Ovis aries: one gene and its partners. The protein of the gene in region 2 interacts with the protein of the main gene of each other region in a biochemical or structural test. Links are inferred from orthologs where the notes say so. Each region holds a gene or a part of one and is shown on either strand. Other genes may lie near its edges.

What was found. The genes of interacting proteins can lie anywhere in the genome.
Region 1: the proteins of COL1A1 (region 2) and SPARC form a complex in vitro, tested with the Homo sapiens proteins (2 studies listed by BioGRID). The link is inferred for Ovis aries from reciprocal best matches to the Homo sapiens genes COL1A1 and SPARC.
Region 3: the proteins of COL1A1 (region 2) and THBS1 form a complex in vitro, tested with the Homo sapiens proteins (2 studies listed by BioGRID). The link is inferred for Ovis aries from reciprocal best matches to the Homo sapiens genes COL1A1 and THBS1.

The regions. Positions count from the first base shown.
Region 1 is NC_056058.1:60,652,272-60,655,771, reverse strand, and holds part of SPARC (SPARC precursor), read left to right. Parts: intron 1-259; coding exon 260-393; intron 394-1,437; coding exon 1,438-1,586; intron 1,587-3,500.
Region 2 is NC_056064.1:36,201,118-36,204,617, reverse strand, and holds part of COL1A1 (collagen alpha-1(I) chain), read right to left. Parts: intron 3,425-3,500; coding exon 3,317-3,424; intron 2,752-3,316; coding exon 2,644-2,751; intron 2,435-2,643; coding exon 2,381-2,434; intron 2,173-2,380; coding exon 2,119-2,172; intron 1,899-2,118; coding exon 1,791-1,898; intron 1,705-1,790; coding exon 1,651-1,704; intron 1,533-1,650; coding exon 1,479-1,532; intron 1,340-1,478; coding exon 1,178-1,339; intron 1,087-1,177; coding exon 979-1,086; intron 834-978; coding exon 726-833; intron 620-725; coding exon 566-619; intron 475-565; coding exon 367-474; intron 1-366. UniProt on the Homo sapiens protein: Type I collagen is a member of group I collagen (fibrillar forming collagen).
Region 3 is NC_056060.1:33,437,131-33,440,630, forward strand, and holds part of THBS1 (thrombospondin-1), read left to right. Parts: coding exon 1-140; intron 141-251; coding exon 252-374; intron 375-1,395; coding exon 1,396-1,489; intron 1,490-2,898; coding exon 2,899-3,075; intron 3,076-3,385; coding exon 3,386-3,500. UniProt on the Homo sapiens protein: Adhesive glycoprotein that mediates cell-to-cell and cell-to-matrix interactions.

The sequences.
Region 1 (3,500 bases), on a different chromosome or scaffold from region 2:
GATGAGATCAAGGTCGAGGGAACAGGGGATGTGCCTTTGCTCTTGTCCAATTGCAGAGTATTCTTCCCCCACCCCCTCCAATCTCCTTTGTTCAAAAGGTATGAAGAAACTGTGGCCCCGAGAGGCTGAGCCGGTGCCAAGGCCACCGACTGAAGAAGTAGCAAGAGAAGGGCAGGGGTGGGGAGAGCGACCTGGCCAGCACATTGGCCCTCGGGCAGGGAGTCAGGGTCTGTGCTGACCACCCCTGTGTTGACCCTAGACATCCCCCCCTGCCTGGACTCTGAGCTGACTGAATTCCCCCTGCGCATGCGGGACTGGCTGAAGAACGTCCTGGTCACGCTGTACGAGAGGGACGAGGACAACAACCTCCTGACCGAGAAGCAGAAGCTGCGAGTAAGGGTCTTTTCTCGTCCTGTCTCAGGGCACTTGCTCGACCGTGAGCTGGCCCTGACCTCGGGCCCCAGGCTGGCTGAGATCCCCAGTCCCATTCCCAGATCTAGGCCCCCAAATGTAAGCCCACATCCCTGCTCCAACGAGCACCTCTGTCCCGGGCTCTAGGACACAGACTCCTCCGTGCGGCCTTTGGAGGCTCCTAGAGCACATTCAGGGGCTTCCCAGGTGGCGTAGTGGTAGAGAACCCACCTGCCAGTGCAGGAGATGTAAGAGACACGGGTTCAATCCCTGGGCTGGGAAGATCCCCTGGAGGAAGGATGGCAACCCACTCCAGTATTCTTGCCTGGAGAATCCCACGGACAGAGGAACCTGGCTGGCTACATAGTCCATAGCGTTGAAAAGAGTCAAACACGACTGAAGTGACAGCACGCAGGCAGAGCACATGTACACGTTAAAGGCTCTGAGGGGTCCCGGAATGAACGGACCTGCTCACTTTGTTTAGGTCCATGTTAAGCACGAGACATAAACAATTCTATTCCTTTTTCTTTCTGAGTCTGTGGACTTTAAGGAACATATCAAGCACTAGGAGTACTGATAAAATACAGCTCCCTGGGCCCCACCTTAGCCACAATGAACCAGTGTCTCTGTGAAGGAAGGCCCAGGAAGCTGCATTTTGACACACTCCACAGTTATTCTGATTGAGATGGCCCCAGGCCTCCACTTCTGTGGATGAGATAATGATGGTACTCATCTAACCACTTCCTTCCCTCATTTGGTCTTTTTTTTTCCTGGCCACACTGCTCAGCATGTGGGATCTTAGGTCCCCGACAGGGATCAAACCTGCGCCTCCTGCAGTGGAAGCACAGAGTCTTAACCCCTGGACCCCCTTCCCTCATTCTGAACCCTGGAGTCCCCCTTCCCTCATCCTGAGCCCTGACTTTGGCTGGTCTCTGCCTACTCTGGCCTCCTGTCGGGGGGAAGGAACCTTGACTGGCCCGACAGCCTCCCCGGACCCTCTGCCACACAGCATCTCTGCTCCCACAGGTGAAGAAGATCCACGAGAATGAGAAGCGCCTGGAGGCTGGCGACCATCCCGTGGAACTGCTGGCCCGGGACTTCGAGAAGAACTACAACATGTACATCTTCCCTGTGCACTGGCAGTTCGGGCAGCTGGACCAGCACCCCATTGACGGGTAAGACCCCAGAACCTCAGGGTCACGGAGGGGAGCTGCCTCTAGCCTGGCCCTGGAGTGGACAGTCGCCACCAGGACTGCTGGGTGCTCTAGATGTGGTCAGAAGACTTCTCAGTGGCCTCTGCTGCTCCCAGCCCTGGAGGCCCATAGCTTGCCTAAGGGCTGCCACCGGAGAGGATAGGTGTAGGAGAAAGGATGGAGAAAGGATTTGGTACCATGAGACAATCCCTCCTTACTGCCTAAGAGGCAAAAGCCATCAGAACTGAAAACCCCTCCTTAACCCCATGAGTGCCAGCCTTGGGTATCCATTCAGCAAGGTAGAAGGAGCTGGGAAGGAGCGCCGGACTCCGTGGGGTGGCAAGGCTGAGGTGGGGGAGCAAGGCCCTAAGACCTGGCCCCAATGGGGCAAACTGGCTCTGGAAGTTCTTAAGACAATCACAGTGCCCATCCCATCTCCATGGCAAGCTCCTGGTTTGATCACTCCTGCCCCATGTTGAAATGAGTTAGGAAGTGCTGTGTAAATGCCCTGTGGGATAGGCCAGGAGTTGGTCAGTGAACCAACATTTATTGAGTGTCTATTACATGTCTAGCACAATTCCAGGCAGGGGATTTAACTGTACTCAGAACTGCCAAGTAGGCCCTTGCCCCCATGGAGCTCACCCCCTGGGTGGTGCTCTGTTTCTCACAATGGAAGGAAAAAGTAAGGAATGTGCCCGGAAGTTGCAGGTGGTGGCTGACCGTCTGCAGCCGAGCTGGACCGGCCCCTCTCGCCCCCGCCTTCCTTTGCTGTGCGCTCCTGGAGCAGGTCAAGAGGAGGGCCGCTCTGCTTGCGCCGGATGCCCAGGGCTGCTCCCCTCTGGGAGGCTCAACCCTCCCTCCCGGTCCAGCCCACCCTGTGGGTGATCCTGGGGGGCTGGGGTCTCCTGAGTGCTGGGAAACTGCCTGTAGCTTCTCTCCCAGGCTCTTTCCGTGGCTGAGATCCATCTGAGTCATACCCTGAAGGGGAGGGGAGATGTAGGGAACATCTGGACTCAGGCTGAGCAAGGAAGGGGCCTGGAGGGAGGCTTCCAGATGGGGCTGCAAGGACCCTGCATCTGGGAAAACAGCCTGGGTCAGAGGATCCGTCCTCCCCCTCTCCTTGTCCCAGAGCTGCCTGGTGACCTTGCCTGAGTCCCTGCCCCTCTCTGGGGCTCACTTTCCTCACTGATATACAAAGAAGGGGGAGGAGCTTCAGTTCAACCTATCCCTTCCACGAGTTGGGCCAGATAGGAGGGCCCGGGGGTCCTTGGGGAAGAGTGTTTTGAGGACAACTAATGGAGGGCTCTGGGGAACAAGGGGAAAAAATCCTACATGTGCTCTGGAGTCCAGGCCAGCTGGGAGGACAGGAACAGAGGAGATGGGGAGAGAAACCAGAAGGCCTCCTTCTCACATGGGACACAGTACATAAAAGATAAAGTTCTACTCACCCTCCGCCTGCCAATTCCAGTCCCTTCCCACACTCCCTCCCCCAGAAGTCAGCACCCTCTTCCTGTTCTTTTTCTGGCCACACATCTTAAGGGATCATAGTTTCCTGACCAGGGATCAAACTGGGCCCTTAGCAGTGGAAGTGCAGAGTCTCAACACTGGACTGCTGGGGAAACCCCACCCCTGCTCTCCAAGTTTTTCAGTACTCTCTTCACCTTGAGGCATCTCTTTTTCATCTCTTTTCTGAGCATTTGCAGATGTATAAATGTGTGTCTGCAGAAAACATGCATTGTTGTTTCATACCAGATTTTGATCTACCAATAGCGGAAATGCTGAATATCTTCAGCGTTTGTGCCCTCAAGTCTTAGCCAATTAGGAAACAATGAAATGCACCAAGAGACCTGTGTTATGAACCCACAGATCTTAGACCTGGAAGGGCCCTTTAGACGT
Region 2 (3,500 bases):
AGCTGGGGTGAGCACCTGGGAACAAACCCCCTTCCTTGGGGGAAACAGTGTACTGGCTGGGGAGGGGCCTTGAGGCTGAGCTGTGGCTCAACTTTTTTTTTTTTCCTAATAAACATTCCAAACTGAGTTTGGAGCAGAGGAAAGTTTACAGCAGGCCAAGCAAAGAGAATGGTGAGGAGGGTTCAGGTTCAAAAAATCCAAACTCCTATGGCTCAGTTTTTTCAGGAAGACCAAGGGCCAGACATCTTGCAAGTCCTCCTCTCTTCCCCTGCCTAGGTGAAGTCAAGTGTCCACCTGCAGATCCCCTGGCAAGTCTGGAGAGTCCCTGGCCTGAGCAGAAGCAGCAAGCCAGGCCCAGCGACTTACAGTCTCACCACGATCACCACTCTTGCCAGCAGGCCCAACAGGGCCAGGGGCACCGGGAGCACCAGGAGCACCAGGAGGTCCAGCAGGGCCGGTCTCACCACGGTCACCCTGAGAAGAGAGAGGGAAATCCAGTGAGCCGCAGCTGAAGCGGCCTGGTAGGAGTGGCTGTGGGGCTATGGTCCTGAGGCAGCCATCTCACCTTGGCGCCAGGAGCACCATCTCGTCCAGGGGATCCTTCAGCACCAGGAGCTCCCTGCAGGGGAGGCGGGGAGGTGAACATCAGTCAAGGAAAGGGAGCCTCAGGCCAAGGCCCAAAGGGCCACAGTGATGGCACTGGTGTGGGGCTGGCAACCATGTACCTCACGTCCAGACTCGCCAGGGGGTCCAGCCAATCCAGGGGGGCCCATGGGACCAGGGGGGCCACGTTCACCACTTGCTCCAGAAGGACCTTGTTTGCCGGGTTCACCCTGAGGGAGAAGAAAGAGTCAGGCCAGAGATGGGGTGGGAGAGGGCCTGATGGTCCCCCACATTTGCCCTTGCTGACCATACCACCCCCATCCTGCACCCTCCAAATCCTGCAAAGGCCCTGCCCCAAGGTAAGGGGGCACTCACAGAGGGGCCAGGAAGACCAGGGAAGCCTCTTTCTCCTCTCTGACCGGGCAGGCCGACCACACCACGCTGTCCAGCAATACCCTGAGGTCCAGGAGTGCCAGGAGCGCCCTGTGGTGGGGGTGCAGACAGGGGTGAGATGACTCCCAGTGGCCAGGGACGACACCCCCCAACTCTGGACCCCTCTGGAGGGGTCACTTACAGCAGGTCCGTCAGCACCAGGGGCTCCTTTCTCACCAGCGGGGCCAGGGGGACCAGGGGGACCAACTTCACCGGCACGCCCAGCGGGGCCAGTCTCACCACGGGGGCCTTTGCTGCCTTCTTTGCCAGCAGGGCCAGGAGGGCCAGGGGGTCCAGCATTTCCCTGGATGGGGAGAATTGCAACTGTCAGAGTCCAGCAGATTCTGGAGCATTCCTGAGGCCTCAGTCAGGCCCACCACACTCTTGACAGCCTGTGTCCCACACCTTCCCAGACCAGTGGAGTCTCCACCACGGACACTTACAGAGGGGCCAGGGGGACCGACTCGGCCAGCAGCACCTGGGAAACCAGTAGCACCCTGAAGAAGAGGACAAAGAAGTGATCAGAGGGAGAACACCCCCTCACCTGGCCCAGCTGCCCCACCTCCAAATGCTGCCTGGGGGAAACTTCAGCGGAGAGGCAGAGTGGGTACTCACAGGGGGACCAGCGCTGCCGCGAGCACCTTTGGGTCCAGGAGCACCAACGTTACCCTGGAGGAGAACACAGAGGCATCAAGGCTGGGCCGATCCTGGGTCCAGCCTGCTGGCAGCTTGGACCTAAGCAGTGAGATACTCACAATGGGGCCAGGGGGTCCAGCAGGTCCAGCAGGCCCGGGGGGCCCAGCATCACCTTTAGCACCAGCATCACCAGGTTCGCCTTTAGCACCAGGTTGGCCATCAGCACCCTGGGGGAGGAGGGAGCGTGGTGAGTGGAGGAGAGGTCTGTGCTCACCCAGGAAGTCAGCCTAGGGGGCACCGGAACTCCAGGCAGGAAGACGCTTTCAATGGGAGACAATCTCCCCTCCACCCGCCTGTAAACCCGGCCAACGCCTCTGTCCTCATCCAATCACCCAAGGCCCCAGGTCCTAGTTGGGGATGGAAGATAAAAAGGATCTTGGTACTCACAGGGGGGCCAGCGAAGCCAGCAGGGCCGGGGGGACCAGGCTCACCACGGTCACCCTAGAAGAGAAGGAGGCAAATTGGGAGAGGCCCTGATTCGGGGGAAGGCAGGTGAGGATGGACAGGAGGGTGGGGAGGAGGGCCTGAGGAGCACTGCCCAGGGACCAGAGCAAGTGGGAGCTAAGGTGAGAAGGGACAGAAAGAGAGCTGGGGGGCACATGGAGAGAAGTGCCAGGTACGGAGCCTTAACCAGGTCTTCTGTACTTACGGGGGCGCCACGAGCTCCAGTGGGACCGGCTGGGCCGCTAGGACCAGTTTCACCCTGAAAGGAAGGGACAAGAGGCTCAGGATCAGGGTGCCACGCTGAATACTCCTGCCCGATGACCCCAGGAGAGTCCTCCTCCCTCCTGGTCACCCCACCGTTGGGTTGCCAGGTTGGAGTGGCAGGAAATGCCTCCCTAGCAGAGCTGTGCCCAGGCTCACAAGGGAAGCTGTGTGTTAGGGAAGAAGGTGAGAAGGGGGCCATCTCACCTTGTCACCAGGGGCACCAGCAGGGCCAGGAGGACCGATGGGACCAGTCAGACCACGGACGCCATCTTTGCCAGGAGCACCATCAGCACCTTTGGGACCAGCATCCCCCTAAAGACACAGGAAAGCCTGAGACTTCTGGCGTGGGGCAAGGAGGTGACCTTCAGCATCCTGCTTGTGTCTGGGACCCCTCCCCAGCTTATGTTTGCCCTGCCCCGACATGTGCAAAGAACCTAAGAACTTCCAGGGGAAAGACGCCTGTGTGGGGATTCCCAGGAAAGACCTGGGTTCCATCCCTGGGTCAGCAAGATCCCCTGGAGAAGGAAACGGCAACCCACTCCAGTACTCTTGCCTGGGAAATCCCATGGATAGAGGAGCCTGGTGAGCTACAGTCCAGGGGTTGGAAAGAGTTGGACACAACTGAGCGACTAACACTTTAGGCTAAGAAGCTCCCAAATAAGAGATCCCTAGTCTAGGAGGCACCCACTCCTGCTTGTCGCCATGGTAACACATGGGAAGGGCAGGGCCTGAACTATAGGTAGATGATAACCAAGAGGCCAGAGAAGGATTAAGAAGAGGAAAACACCCGAGGGAGCAGAAAGAAAGATGCTGAGGGATTCAAAGCAGAGAGAGATGGGAGCTACACAAAGCTCGAGGGAGGGGGAGTTCCACTTACTCTGTCACCCTTAGGGCCTGGAAGGCCAGCTGCACCTCGTTCACCAGGCATTCCTTGAAGGCCAGGGGCACCCTGGCTACCAGGGGCTCCAGGGGCACCAGCATCACCCTATGTGACAACCGATAAGACTGGAGTGAGACTTGGGATCTCAGAACTAGGTCTAGGTCACAACTTTGAGCCTCGT
Region 3 (3,500 bases), on a different chromosome or scaffold from region 2:
GCACCGACTACATCGGCCACAAGACAAAGGACCTGCAAGCCATTTGTGGCATCTCATGTGACGAGCTGTCCAGCATGGTCCTAGAGCTCAGGGGTCTACGCACCATTGTGACCACGCTGCAGGACAGTATCCGCAAAGTGGTCAGTAGTCTCCACCCACCGCCTGTTAGCAGGAGCCCCTGCATGTGATGGTGATGATGCTGAGGGACTGAAAGTGAGGCTCGATGCTAATAACCTTTCTCCCCCTTTTAGACCGAAGAGAACAAAGAGCTGGCCAATGAGCTGAGGAGGCCCCCACTCTGCTACCACAACGGAGTCCAGTACAGGACTGGTGACGAGTGGACGGTGGACAGCTGCACTGAGTGTCGCTGCCAGGTAAGGCTCTCGACGGACTGAAACACAAATGGATGGCACACTCTCTGAAGAAAGAGCCAGATGGCTGCGGAGGCTCTTTTCATGTTCCATGGCTGGATACCCAAGTGGTGTCTTTTTCTTAAGATGCAGCTATGACATCTATAAAATCATTTAAATGCTCAGAGTTTTTCAAAGTCTTAATTATACCCCAGGCTAAGAATAATATCTAAAAGAGTATATCTATTTAAATATCTCGGTAACTTACCTGCTTTAGTTCAAGAGCTAAGTGTTGAATATCAGGTAAGTAAAATCAAGTTGGAACCCCCCCCCCACAACCTGATTCATATTTGGCTATGACATGGAGATTCTTTAATACAGTACTGATTGCTATTCAAATCACTTGGCCCAACATCATTAGAACTATCCACTTACCTCAGATGGTACTGCCTGTAGTGTATGTGTCCTTCTGGCTCACCCCCTACCCAACGCCAGGGGCAGAGGATTTTGGGGGGGTGTTGCTGGCTCATTGAGCAAAGTCAAGCTTAAATACAAATCATGGATTGCCGGATTTGGGAGCCACCTTTACTAAACTCCCATTTTTGTCCAATATTATATAAAGCCATATTTATATATGAGAAAGTAAGATGCTCATTGATCTTCTTTTCCCCATAAAGATGTAATTTAAAATTTTTAAAGTCCTGGCTGAGTTTCAGGAATTTGATTTTAGACACAGAGTAACAGATCTGACTCATGATATTAGGTGGTTCCAACTGCATAAATTCATGTTGTTCTGTGCATGAAGAAGTGACTAAGTGGCAATTGAGACGAATTCTAGAGGGATGGAGTGACAAGTAAGCAGCCCTTGAACTGTCTCTACAGTACTGGTGGCTGCCAAAAGACAGGCAGAGCTTCTATTAAAATCATTCCACTAGAGCATTTATAGCCCAGACGACATTTCAGCTTGTAATTGAAATGGTTCAGTATGTAAGCTTCTGCTTGCAATATGCTTAGTACCCATTTCTCCTTCACTGTTGCCCTGCAGAACTCAGTTACCATCTGCAAAAAAGTGTCCTGTCCCATCATGCCCTGCTCCAACGCCACAGTTCCTGATGGAGAATGCTGCCCACGGTGCTGGCGTAAGTTCCTAAGATTGTTGGCCATGCTTCAGTGACTGGATTGATTGTACATAATGCTGGAATACCAGTCCCATCTCTGTCACATGTTTTCATTCAGTTTCTTGCTACAGCATCTGGTTAGCTGATGGCTTGTCTGCTGTATACAACCAAAAAAATGCCATTATGACTAAATTACCCCCCTAATTGTGGTGTAGACAATAACCTTAGTATAGTTTATTGAGTATGATTCTGTGCTTTGAGAAAAGATGAGATGAATTGGTAGCAGCAGTAGCTTTAAGTTAACTGGATTTAGAATCTGACCTTGTGGCCTAGAGTCAGTAAAAATCTGCTCACTGGAGAAATTGATGGACTTAACTGGGCCTGAAAGTTCTACCCATTTTATCTACAGGCGTAGGAGACCTAAGAAAAAATAGTACTTTGAGTCTCAGGGCTCTGTAAGAAATTGTATTGTTTCATGGTACCCAGTCCCTGGGTTTTGCTGCCAGTATAATTAATCACTTTGCTGAGACACTGTAGTAAGTACAAGTCATAAAGATGATTTATCACAACTAAGATGCATGAAACAGGAAAGTAGCACTCCCCCTTCACATCCACGCCCCCCACACTCCCTGTTTCCTACACACACGGATCATAGCTCAGAAGAGCCAGTTCCCTTCAGAGATGTCAGTGACATTGGAACTGTCATAATCATTTGTACATTGCTTTCTGTTCAGCATTCACTTCAGATGTGGGTTAAAGGGAACAAGGCTAGCTAGGGACTAGCAGAGTGCTGAATTTTGAGTCAGGGATTACTAGGAAAACTTCGAACTGATGGCAAGAGAAAACAAAGTTCTCTATCTCCTGTCAGATACAGGACGTGATTGTAGTCATGGCGCCTGGGCAGATGGTAAACAAACACACTTCCCTCTTATGAAAATATGTGCAGAAAAGGCCCCAAATGCTAGGGTGAGAGGAGCAACCCGCTGACTGACCTCATGACTGATCCAGGGCCAGAGCCAACAGCGGCTCCGCTGCCTTCAGATTCATCTGCCAAACATGTGGGTCTCTGACTCTCCTGAAAGTCAGAAGTGATTCCTATAAGTTGCCTAAAACCCAAGTATTCTTGGAAGCCTGGGGCTGGAAATGCCTACCAAGACATCTTAAGTCAAAAAAGGGAAACTCATTTAAAATGCAGACTTGGAAGAAGGGGGCGAGGATGACTAGAAACATATGTGGGGGAAAGGTTCAGCTATACCGACCCAGGCAAAGCATGCAATTACCCCAAAGCTGTGCACAGAATGACCGCTTGGCCATTGGCCTAACAAATATATTGCTTTTCACTCTCTGGCATGGGAAGAAAGTCCAGAGCAGAGCAGCCCAAAGAATAGCTTGTTTTCATGATAACACACTAAATGCACCCATTTGCTCAGCAGCCAGCGACTCTGCAGACGATGGCTGGTCCCCGTGGTCTGAGTGGACCTCTTGCTCTGTGACCTGTGGCAATGGAATCCAGCAGCGTGGCCGCTCCTGCGACAGCCTCAACAACAGATGCGAGGGCTCCTCTGTGCAGACGCGGACCTGCCACATCCAGGAGTGTGACAAGAGATGTAAGTGTTGGGCCACTTGGGGATGTGGAGACCTGACTTGTCCTTGTTGTCACCAATAGCAACTTCAGAGCACAGAGGTTGAGGGCACAGGTTCTAGACTCTGATCTAATCCCAGTTCTCTGCCTTATCTGTGCACCCTTGAGCACAGCTTCTCCTCTCTGAGGCTCTTATCTGTAAATTGGGGGTAAAAATAGTGTAAAGATGTTTAGTTTGGCGAGTTTGAAGATGTGGTTTAGAGGATGCATTTAAAGTGTTAATGTAGAGCTTGGCTTGTGGGAAGCACCATATAACCATCAGCTTTGTCCTTTAGTTAAACAGGATGGAGGCTGGAGCCACTGGTCCCCGTGGTCATCTTGTTCCGTAACATGTGGAGATGGTGTGATCACAAGGATCCGGCTCTGCAACTCCCCCAGCCCCCAGATGAA